3 linked regions of the Saccharomyces cerevisiae S288C genome follow. Changing the gene in region 3 together with the main gene of any one other region gives a genetic interaction. Each region holds a gene or a part of one and is shown on either strand. Other genes may lie near its edges.

Evidence for each region. A genetic interaction does not mean that the proteins touch.
Region 1: mutations in TPT1 (region 3) and SEC59 together harm fitness more than expected from each alone (negative genetic interaction), as found in Saccharomyces cerevisiae (2 studies listed by BioGRID).
Region 2: mutations in TPT1 (region 3) and GAB1 together harm fitness more than expected from each alone (negative genetic interaction), as found in Saccharomyces cerevisiae (2 studies listed by BioGRID).

Annotation. Positions count from the first base shown.
Region 1 is NC_001145.3:294,607-298,544, reverse strand, and holds SEC59 (dolichol kinase), read left to right. Parts: upstream 1-1,806; coding exon 1,807-3,366; downstream 3,367-3,938. Other genes in the region: translation initiation factor 3 subunit CLU1, read right to left, coding at 3,578-3,938. UniProt on the Saccharomyces cerevisiae protein: Catalyzes CTP-mediated phosphorylation of dolichol, the terminal step in de novo dolichyl monophosphate (Dol-P) biosynthesis. Dol-P is a lipid carrier essential for the synthesis of N-linked and O-linked oligosaccharides and for GPI anchors.
Region 2 is NC_001144.5:1,055,639-1,059,090, forward strand, and holds GAB1 (GPI-anchor transamidase subunit GAB1), read left to right. Parts: upstream 1-1,695; coding exon 1,696-2,880; downstream 2,881-3,452. Other genes in the region: YLR456W (pyridoxal 5'-phosphate synthase), read left to right, coding at 1-46; NBP1 (Nbp1p), read right to left, coding at 174-1,133. UniProt on the Saccharomyces cerevisiae protein: Component of the GPI transamidase complex. May be involved in the recognition of either the GPI attachment signal or the lipid portion of GPI.
Region 3 is NC_001147.6:125,425-128,351, reverse strand, and holds TPT1 (tRNA 2'-phosphotransferase), read left to right. Parts: upstream 1-1,662; coding exon 1,663-2,355; downstream 2,356-2,927. Other genes in the region: IZH4 (Izh4p), read left to right, coding at 432-1,370; myo-inositol transporter ITR2, read right to left, coding at 2,522-2,927. UniProt on the Saccharomyces cerevisiae protein: Catalyzes the last step of tRNA splicing, the transfer of the splice junction 2'-phosphate from ligated tRNA to NAD to produce ADP-ribose 1''-2'' cyclic phosphate.

The DNA.
Region 1 (3,938 bases), on a different chromosome or scaffold from region 3:
TAATTAACGCAAGAGAAAATTTACTCAAGTTAATATATTTGAACTCAAATATATTGAAGAGATTAGAGTCGTCCAAATAGTCAGCATTACAATGGTTCGCTTGACCCAATTTCTAAATTTGCTAAAAATATTAAAGCTCAGTACCACGCCCTGTCACAGGCGAAATATCATCAAAGTTAATCGATAAACATTCGAAAAACGCAGTTGACCGTCGTGAAATGTGGAAATCATCATAAACAATTTTTGAAATTGGAGAAAAGTTAAAAACCTTGAAACAGTTTGTACGATCTCTCATCTCTCTCAGATAAATTTTCTAGTTTAAATTGCATCAGACACTAATTGCTCTTTTCAATCATGAAGATCAGACATATGCTTGTCTATTTGAGTAATTTGTTTCATCTTCTGCAGCATTGACGTCTCTAAGGTAGAAATTTTCTTTAAAAAACATGGAAGCAATACAGACACATCAACTGATGAACTAGTTATCTGTCGATTTTTTTCTATTTCCAAATTCTTTGCTAATCGAAAAGAATAATGTAAACAGCTTCAGAAAGGCATGAATGGTAATTTTAATAGTTGTGTCTTCACGAATGATCAGACTCGTCATCTATAAATATCTCATCATAAAAACCAATTCACATAATTATACGAAAATGAGAAAAAAATCCATTCTTCCCTATAGAAAATTCTGTTAGCCCTCAGAAAAACTTACAATGGATCAGTTGCGCGGGTTTTCTAGGCCCGCTAAAGCATTGTCACTCATTTGAAAGGATATTTGTTTCCCCCTCAGTGCCCAGTGCTGTGGATCCTCATTTCCATTGTATCAAATAGATCGAAAACATCAATCTACGGAAGAATAGCACTAAAAAACTACTGTTTTCTAAGCTTAAATGTATTCTTCCAATTTATGGAAATGTGTCAACTTTCTAGTATTTATTTTAAAGGTGTTTGCTAGGTCAGGATAGTGCAAAAACGTATCAACATATACTCGTTCAGCCAGTAATTCCAGCTTTTGTTTTTGTTATAATCATCATATGAACAAACACCTTTGAATAAATATGGAATAAAAAGAAAATTGAAATGGGTGTGGTAAATGAAAGGAGAGCAGAGAAATTGAAGAAATACTACTGTATTTCTATTTAGACTTTTCCTTTCAGTTTTTTCTTCTTTATTGCTAATTAAAAACCTCAGAAATAAGAATAAACGTTCTAATCACAAAAGATTCAGAAACTCTAGTTTGTAAAAATTTATTTTGGTCATCAAGGGAATAATTAGCCTGTGATAATGACAAAAGACATATCTGAAAAACTAACTTTGATAAAGAAGAAAAAAAGAACACGGAAAAAAACGTTTTATGGATTCAATTTCTCTCTCAGCCTTTCATAGCTCCCACTCATCTGAATATTTCTTTTGTATTGATCTTTGTGATGGAAATCATAGGATTCTAATATTGTAACTTATTAAAGAGAGGAAGCATTAATTGCCAATAACCATTTCTGCGTCTCTTATTTATACCCGAAGTAATCCTAGAAGAAAAAAAAATTTTCAGAAATGAAAAAAGTTCTAGATGTATGGGTGTGCGGGTAATGCTAAGATACGTTATTGAGGGCTGTCCGCAATGGTTGGGTTTTCAGGCACGTAATTTTCAAAAGAGTTGTACACGTTGTTAGTCAAGATGGTGAAAATGGTATCGAAGGACGTATTCTATGAAAGATAGAGTTTGTAGTAAGCCAAATATTAGAATTTAGCTAGTAAATCAGACTCCTTTCGAGGCAATAAACTGTCGTTATTCTGTTCATTGCCTATATGGTCGCTATAATACCTCATGCTTCCTTTACCACAATTAAACTAACCCAGAAAACTGAGGGAAGCCAAATGCCAACTGAGGAGATCTGCAAAATCAATATGAGGACTCGTAAATTTGATGTGGGCGGGAATTCTCGAGATTTTGAGTGCTTTTATTCGAATTTTGTTCAAACTGTTATATTGTTGGGCACTTTTTTTTACTGTGTTGAAAGGCTTCAGCCGTGGTCCATTGTTACCGCTGATATATCTTATAAACAAATCTTTGTAAATGTCTTTGTGGTGTGTTTGATAATGGTTGGTCTGATATTCACAAAATATTGGCAACATGGTTACAAAAGCCTACCCAAGTTCGATACCATTTACAGTTTATATTTACCGTTTATGGTTTCGTTGTTGTTCGATACATCATCTACGGTGATAAATACTATTTTGATCCTTTCGGTATTAAATTCATATAGATGGCGAACTCAGTTGGTAGTGATCATTTTACAGCTCTGCCTCATATTTTTTAATTTTGAGGCTGGTGACAGGTTAAAGAATATTATTAGCATAGTAATAAATTCTTTACTGTCGTTAATTTTGAAGTATATTGGGCAATTGAAAAGTTTAGATAATATCGACTCTAATCTTTTTAGTATCCTATTAACCAATATTCTGTACGTTTCAGAGGCTGGCACAGTACATTTTAGAATTTTGAAGGGCATTATCCTTGCTCTCACAACAATAATTTCAATTAACTATGTGCTCAAAAAGGTAATGCACTTTAAACCGTTTATGCTGTCAATATCCTTTGCCATCGGGCTTCCACTTTTTGCCAATACCTTCATTCATTTAGAAGACGGTGAAAATCCGCTACTTTGGCTGGTAAAATATATCTTAGAGTCTACTATTCGTCAAAAGATTTTGTTTGCTTGGTCTTCAATTCTTATACTGTCCATACCAAGTATATTGATCGAGAAGGACAGTCTATCGTTGAACACCTCCCGAAAATTGTGGCATTTCATCATTTTCTTACTCATAATACCGTCATTCCAAATGGATTCAAACTTTGTGAAAATTGCATTGTCCGGAACAATACCAGTCTTCTTATCAATTGAGTACATAAGATTTCAAAACCTACCGCCGTTAGGATCTGCTATTGAATTACAACTAAGAAGGTTTGCTGATGATAGGGACCACAGCGGGCCATTGATCATATCATACCTTTATTTACTCTTCGGAATATCAACACCTTTATTAATGAATAACTCTCCAATGGGTCTAATAGGATTGGGAATTGGTGATTCCTTAGCATCTATTATTGGTAAAAGGTATGGCCGCATTCGTTGGAAAGGTACACAAAAAACTTTAGAGGGAACTCTTGCGTTTATAGTAACGAGTTTTATCGTTTGTTTGGTATTGTTACGTTTTGATAAAGCTGCAATTTTTAACCACCTAACTACTTTACAATTGCTTACCCTTTGTACACTGAGTGGAGTGCTAGAAGGTAATAGTGTGCTTAATGACAATATTTTGATACCTGCATTTATGATGATTTGTGAAAAATTAATTACTCTTTGACAAAGTCAATTATTTTCAACTTTTAAAATTACATAACTAATTGTTTGCATTTATGAATAGAATAAAGAAAAGAATAGAGCAGTAAAGAAAAAAAAATAATTGTAAGTATTTTTTTTTCGTTTTATATCTAGTACTTACACGTAGTATATACAAGTATGGGCTATAGATATAAAGAAAAATAATAAATAAACGAGATTGTTAAGTTAGCTCTCTATTTCTTACCATGCTTCTTTTTATTGTTGGTTTTGTTTTTGCTCTTAGAGTTGGAAGAATCGCCTTCTATAAATGTTAACAACTCATCCACACTTTTGTTAGCCAATTCAGGTTTAACGTCATCCTTCTTTTGACGGTGATTGGTTTTTTTATGGCCAGCTGAATTTGATCCCGTTGTCGACATTTGATCTTGTGCAAGTTGCTTCTTTTGTTTTAAATCCATTATTAATGAGCTTAAACCATTAACCCACTGTCTTGATTGGGCTGAGTGCGTGTGATTCATACCCAATTGCTTGGTGAAAATCCCTTGGGTTACAGTGATGTGCTCTAATGCACGGTGGAAATCCTTCAATGCTGCA
Region 2 (3,452 bases), on a different chromosome or scaffold from region 3:
GGAAAATAATACTTCTACATACGGCCAAACAGTACAACCAGTTTAACGGAAATATGATGAAAACTATGTGTACTCTAATTATTATATAAAGCATCTATAAAATGAATCATGAGGATTAGGCCGTGATCTTCGCGCTCCATATATGGAGAATACTTTTAATTTCACAGGAGAAATTAAGATAAATAACTTGAAAAGTCCACTGAGATTGGTGAAAGTGTTTCATCCTCTTTTTCAGTTTCCCTTGAACGATAGGGTGGAGTGGGACAGGCGGGAGATATGTTTTCCTGTAACGGCTGCATCTCTGGTATATTTCCATCCCGATTATATGTTTTCATGGGGCTGGAAGTGAATAATGAATTCGTTCTTCTTATTGGAGACGGGGAAAGATCAATTTTCAAGGGCTTAATCTCATCGTTTTCTCTAGCTAGATTAGACATGGTTCTCCTAGATTTGGTGTATGATGGATGAATGTTTGAAGAATCTAGTAAATCCTCCAAAATCCTGTACTTCTCATTTGAGTAATTCAATGCTTCTTGTAATGATTGTAGCTTGCTTTCCAAGGCTTTTATTTTCTCATCTCTTTTCTTAATTTGCCGCTGTAGAAGAATTTCTCTATCTAAGTATAATGATTGATTTCTATCTTTTCCACTCGACCCGTCAGAACTACCACTTCTTAGTTCACTGATCCGTTGCTTATTGTATTTCAACTCCGATATCTTTCTCTTAAAGGCATCACTCCTTAGGATCCTAGATTTGGCTGTATCTGTGTCCATATAAGAAGGTCTTCCCTGGGATCTCTTCTTCAAAATTCTAGTCATGTCGCCACAAACATTTTGCATCTTGCTCATATTTTCATTATCATTGGAAAAAACATCTCTGATTGTCTGGAATATCTTTGTTAACCTTCGTTTGGGTGTTTTCCTCCTGTTAGTACGAATTTTTTCTTCAGTTTTCCTATCTGTCACCTTTCTAGGTCTTTTTAGAACGCTTTTACCCGTAGGACGCATCTGCTTTCTTCTGCTCCTTAAGGCAGATCGTTTTCTCACTTCATCAAGGGACCCGTATTCTCGTTTCCTGCCATCATCTCGTATTCCAAAAAAATCTTTCCACAGTCCCTGTACGGATTTTAGCATATTACCAATGTCTATTATTGTACCTTTCTCTTCAGAGTATCTACTTGTTCATGTTCAGCAATAATTTCATAATTGTTGATGCGCGCATCGTTTCTATACTATGACGCGTCACGAATTGTGCTAGAGTGGCCTCTAATGAAAGTATAAGAGGCGTTGGCGAAGGTCAAGGATAGACCATTGGCTGTTTCGGATGAGTTATTTTTAAAGTGTAAAGGTATAACATCAAATGAATGAAAATTAACATTGATCTCAGCTCTCAATTTCTTTCCTCATTTGTTTTCGATGTTTCTATATGAGTATACATTAAACAAGTAAATCTCAAGCTCTTGTCAAAACAGTTATTTCCAACATATCTATCTGCATTATTGGTAGCATAATTCTCAAAGGAAGCTAAAACATCCTTCTTAAAGACGTCTATTGGCAAACGATATGTTACGTATTCCGGGTAAAACAAATATTCCATTAAGTGAAATGACCTTTGTTTTCAAAACTAACCAGTTTTAGAACAGTAATTCATATAAACAACGTGATCTTATATGAAAAACTCACCAAAAGGAGACCAATGGATTCCACAGCACTTAAGGTAGCTCTAGGCTGTATTGCAATTCGTTTGGCTGTGAACAGCCTTTTTCCCTCTCTACAACAACAACTGGACCAGTCTGTAGAATTCTCAACTCCCGTAACTTCATTTAGGTCACTACAGGAAGGTATATACCTACTGCGGAACAACATCCAAGTATATAATCATGGGGTTGTTCACCATCCTCCAATTTTGATTTTTTTTCTTTCCCTCTTTAATTCCGACAGGTTAATTTCCCTCATATACGCTTTAATTGATGGATTAATTGCGTATCAGCTGACAGAGGTAACAAAGGCTTTCAAAAACTTGAAACTGAAAGTTTGGCTACCTGGACTTCTTTATGCCGTGAATCCTTTGACCCTTTTATCGTGCATTAGTCGGTCATCAATCATATTCACAAATTTTGCTATTTCATCGTCATTGTATTGCATATTAGCTGAAGGAAACGTTCTTTTGTCCTCTGTTATGATTTCTATATCTGGATATTTGTCAGTATACCCTATTCTCCTCTTAATTCCGCTATTAGGTATGCTGAAAAGTTGGAGGCAAAGAATATTATCTGCCATTGTTTCCATACTATCTTTATTAATTCTGCTATTATTCAGCTACAGTATATTAGGCAGCCAAAGTTGGTCATTTTTGACACAGGTTTATGGATCTATTATAACCTTTGAGAAGGTTTTTCCAAATCTGGGTTTGTGGTGGTACTTCTTCATTGAAATGTTTGACACCTTCATACCGTTCTTCAAGGCTGTATTCAACATTTTTATTGCAGTATTCATTACACCATTTACTTTGCGCTATCATAAGCAGCCATTCTACGCATTCATTTTATGCATTGGGTGGATTGTCCTTACAAAGCCATATCCCTCACTAGGTGACGCTGGTTTTTTCTTCAGCTTCCTACCTTTCTTCACGCCACTATTTGGATATTTAAGATACCCCATCATATCAGCATTACTGTTTTTACACGCAATTGTTTTGGCGCCAATTTTCTATCATCTTTGGGTTGTTTTAGGTTCAGGGAATAGTAATTTTTTCTATGCTATTTCCCTAGTTTATGCTCTGGCTATAGCATCTATATTAGTTGACTTGAACTGGGCGATGCTGAGAATTGAATACGATAACGGTATCCCAAATTTCAAATTGAAGGTAACACAAATTTAACTACTTCCCGTCTATAAACGTACATAAACTAGAATAAAAAGAACCATACAGATGTTCATCGTAAGAGTGGATAAAGCGAATATGAGAGCCATATTGGTTATTCCAGAGGCTATCTATTTTTTAAGAGAAACTGCTTGGTTAAAATTTGCATAATATTGTCTCGGAGAGAAAAGATAGAACTCAGAAGGACCTAATTAATCATGAGCGTTATAATACGAAGAATTGAGATAGAGTGTATGATCTGCGGATTAAGCTCCTACATAATAACAACATTGTACTTGGGACTATGCCAATTTCTTTCCCACCAAAAGTCGTATGAAAAAGGTTATCTTCGCTAGGGCTTCCATTAGGTGAAAGCCAATATATTATCATAGAATAGCACGGCATAAATATATATTTTGTGCTGTCTTTTTGGGAAGGGTAGTTTGACAACCCATGTACATTAACATAAAAAGAGCTTTATCATTAACGGACGAAGAAAGAATGTGTATCGCGTATTTTTAGACTATCGATAATCTTTTTTAAAGTTATGGTAGATAGAAGATGGAATCAGTTACGAAGTGATGAGTTCC
Region 3 (2,927 bases):
AGTTTACATAAAATAGACATATTCACGTGTATGCAAGGGCACATAAAAGCAAAGGCTGACATTGAAACATAGCAAGCCAAGAGATAGAAAAGGAGGATACGGGGTGAACAGCCGGTCTATTCTTATATATACTTCAAAGAAGCGATAGTTCTGTCCGTATAAAAACTCGGACAATTCGGACAGCACTCCGCGAGAAAAGGGCTCGTTGGGCAGCTCAACATTATTCAACGCAAGCCTGTTGAGCTCAATTGGTTTTAATTGTAAATACTCAATGGTGTCAACAGCTAAATGATTTACACTCATATATATGGTCCGGATATATGGACGCAGAAGTAAAATAAAAATGAAAAAAAGTAGAAAAGGAAATTAATTTCTTAAAGTTCTTGTCAGCGCATATAATATTGGTATAAAGGTACATATATATTGACAGTATGGTTTCATTGACTACAATAGAGCAAAGCCCAGTCAAATGCGAGACAACCACTGAGAAAGAGAGCAATGATACTAGGGGGACAGATTCGAACGAGAATGCAGAGACAAAAGAAACAAAGAAGGGTTTTCCATTCCATGACTTGGCAAAATTGCAGAAACAGTACAAAAATAAATCCAGTAGGAACGAGTCACTAGTAGCACTAATATATCTCTTGGGTTCGATGCTGTCATTTTGTCTCCTAATATTTTTCACGGACTTTTATTTGATACCTTTGTTCCCCACCACCACTACAATGACAGACTACATTGTATTCAATTTTTATTTATTGAACGTTTTTGTATTTTGTATGGTGCATTTCATTTATCACTTCGTCAAAAATATTTCTCTACAACAACATCTCGAACATTGGCAGAAGTTTTCGTATTTATCGAATATCAACTTATTGATATCATCACAAATCACAATTCTTTATTATCTATTCTATGATTACGTGTTTTTCTTCAAAATTTTTACCCTTTTAATGAACTTCATAGGATTAGTGGCATACTTTTTTATATTGACGGACAAACTCATTTCCTCGAAAAGATTCAATAAAACAGTTTTCTTCATTTCGGTATCAGTAGTGTGTTGTTCCTTGCCACTATTAACCGCAATAATCACCTTTGATGGTTTAGAAAACCTGAAAGAGAGGATAAAAGTGAACGCAATTACGTGGGAACTTGTGGCTTTGGTAGCGGCATCTATAATTTACGTTACCAGGTTCCCTGAATCATTGTTCAGACGAAATAAAAAGGAAGAAGGTTGGAATCATTCCGAGTACCTTTTCCATCTCTTGATTTCTGGTACGGCTTTTTACCATTTTTTCATTTTGATTCAATCTTATATTTTGATGCATTCAAGTTTGAATCAGCCCGAATTAATTAATTTCAAGTCTTAGACTCAGCTGGTGCTCACATAATAAATAATTGAATAAATAAGGCAAATTAAATAAAAAAATAATTCAAGAATGGGAAGTGTATCTCCTTTAAAGATACTTACACGAGTTGAATTAAGCTTCATGTTTTGACTTTAATGTCTTCTGCGGTTCTTGTCCGTATTTCTGTCTTCGTGATGTATTTGTTCTTTTTTACTGACACCGTGACGCGAGGAAAGCTCATCAAAATAATGGCAAAATGCATAATACATTATTACAGAATTGAGCAGAATGACTGGGAAAGGTGGACTTGACAATGCGCCAGGTACTACAAAAAGATAAAAGGGATGTACAGCTTTCCAAAGCTTTATCATATCTGCTTCGACATACAGCGGTGAAAGAAAAGTTGACTATTGACTCAAACGGTTATACACCGCTGAAAGAACTATTGTCTCATAATAGATTGAAAACTCATAAATGTACGGTGGATGATATCCATCGCATTGTTAAGGAAAATGACAAACAACGCTTTCATATAAAAACGTTAGGAGCGGACGAAGAATGGATCTGTGCTACTCAGGGACATTCAATCAAATCGATTCAGCCATCAGATGAGGTTCTCGTACCAATTACTGAAGCGTCGCAGTTACCACAGGAACTAATTCATGGAACAAATCTTCAATCTGTCATAAAGATTATTGAATCCGGAGCAATATCACCAATGAGTAGAAATCATGTCCATTTATCGCCGGGGATGTTGCACGCGAAGGGAGTTATTAGTGGAATGCGTTCTTCAAGTAACGTCTATATTTTCATCGACTGCCATTCTCCATTATTCTTTCAAACTTTGAAAATGTTCAGGTCGCTCAATAATGTTTACTTAAGCAGCAGTATTCCCGTTGAATTGATCCAAAAAGTTGTAGTTAAAGGAAACTTGAAAGATGAGGAGAAGTTAGATACTTTAAGAAGAATTTTACACGAAAGAAACATACCGCTCGAAAAGATATAACTTTCATCAAGCTCAACTTTTATGAATTTTTATTTTTAAATACTTCGCTCTTACTTATATATTTAAATAAAAACTTTTAAGATTAGATGAAATGAATTGTCTCCCTTTTATAGCTTTCTTCCTTCTTTTTTGTTCTTTATCTTTTATTTTTTGTTGGTGTAGCAGTCTAACTTTCTACAATTTCCTGTGTAGGTTCGAATTTGAGTTTATGATGGGCAGCACCTTCGGCCACCTGTTGTTTCCTCTTTTTAGCTAGAGCTTTAGAGGCTTTGATATTGAATCCGTCCTTTAAAATTGTTTGAACTTCCTCTAACTCCAATCCTGATAGTTCTGGATAACAAAAGTAACAAAAAATGGTTGATAAACATGCTACACCGGCAAAGAATGAAAATGTACCCGTTGGTGTAATATTTTGTAACATAGTCAAGAACGTAGACGCAATGACTAAAGAACCTGCCCAATTGGTGGCAGTAGCGTAGGATGTCCCTACACCTCTGACGTTTTGTGGAAATAATTCCGATTGTTGCCATGGAACAGTGCCGATACCGAGGGCATAAAAGGCTGCATACACA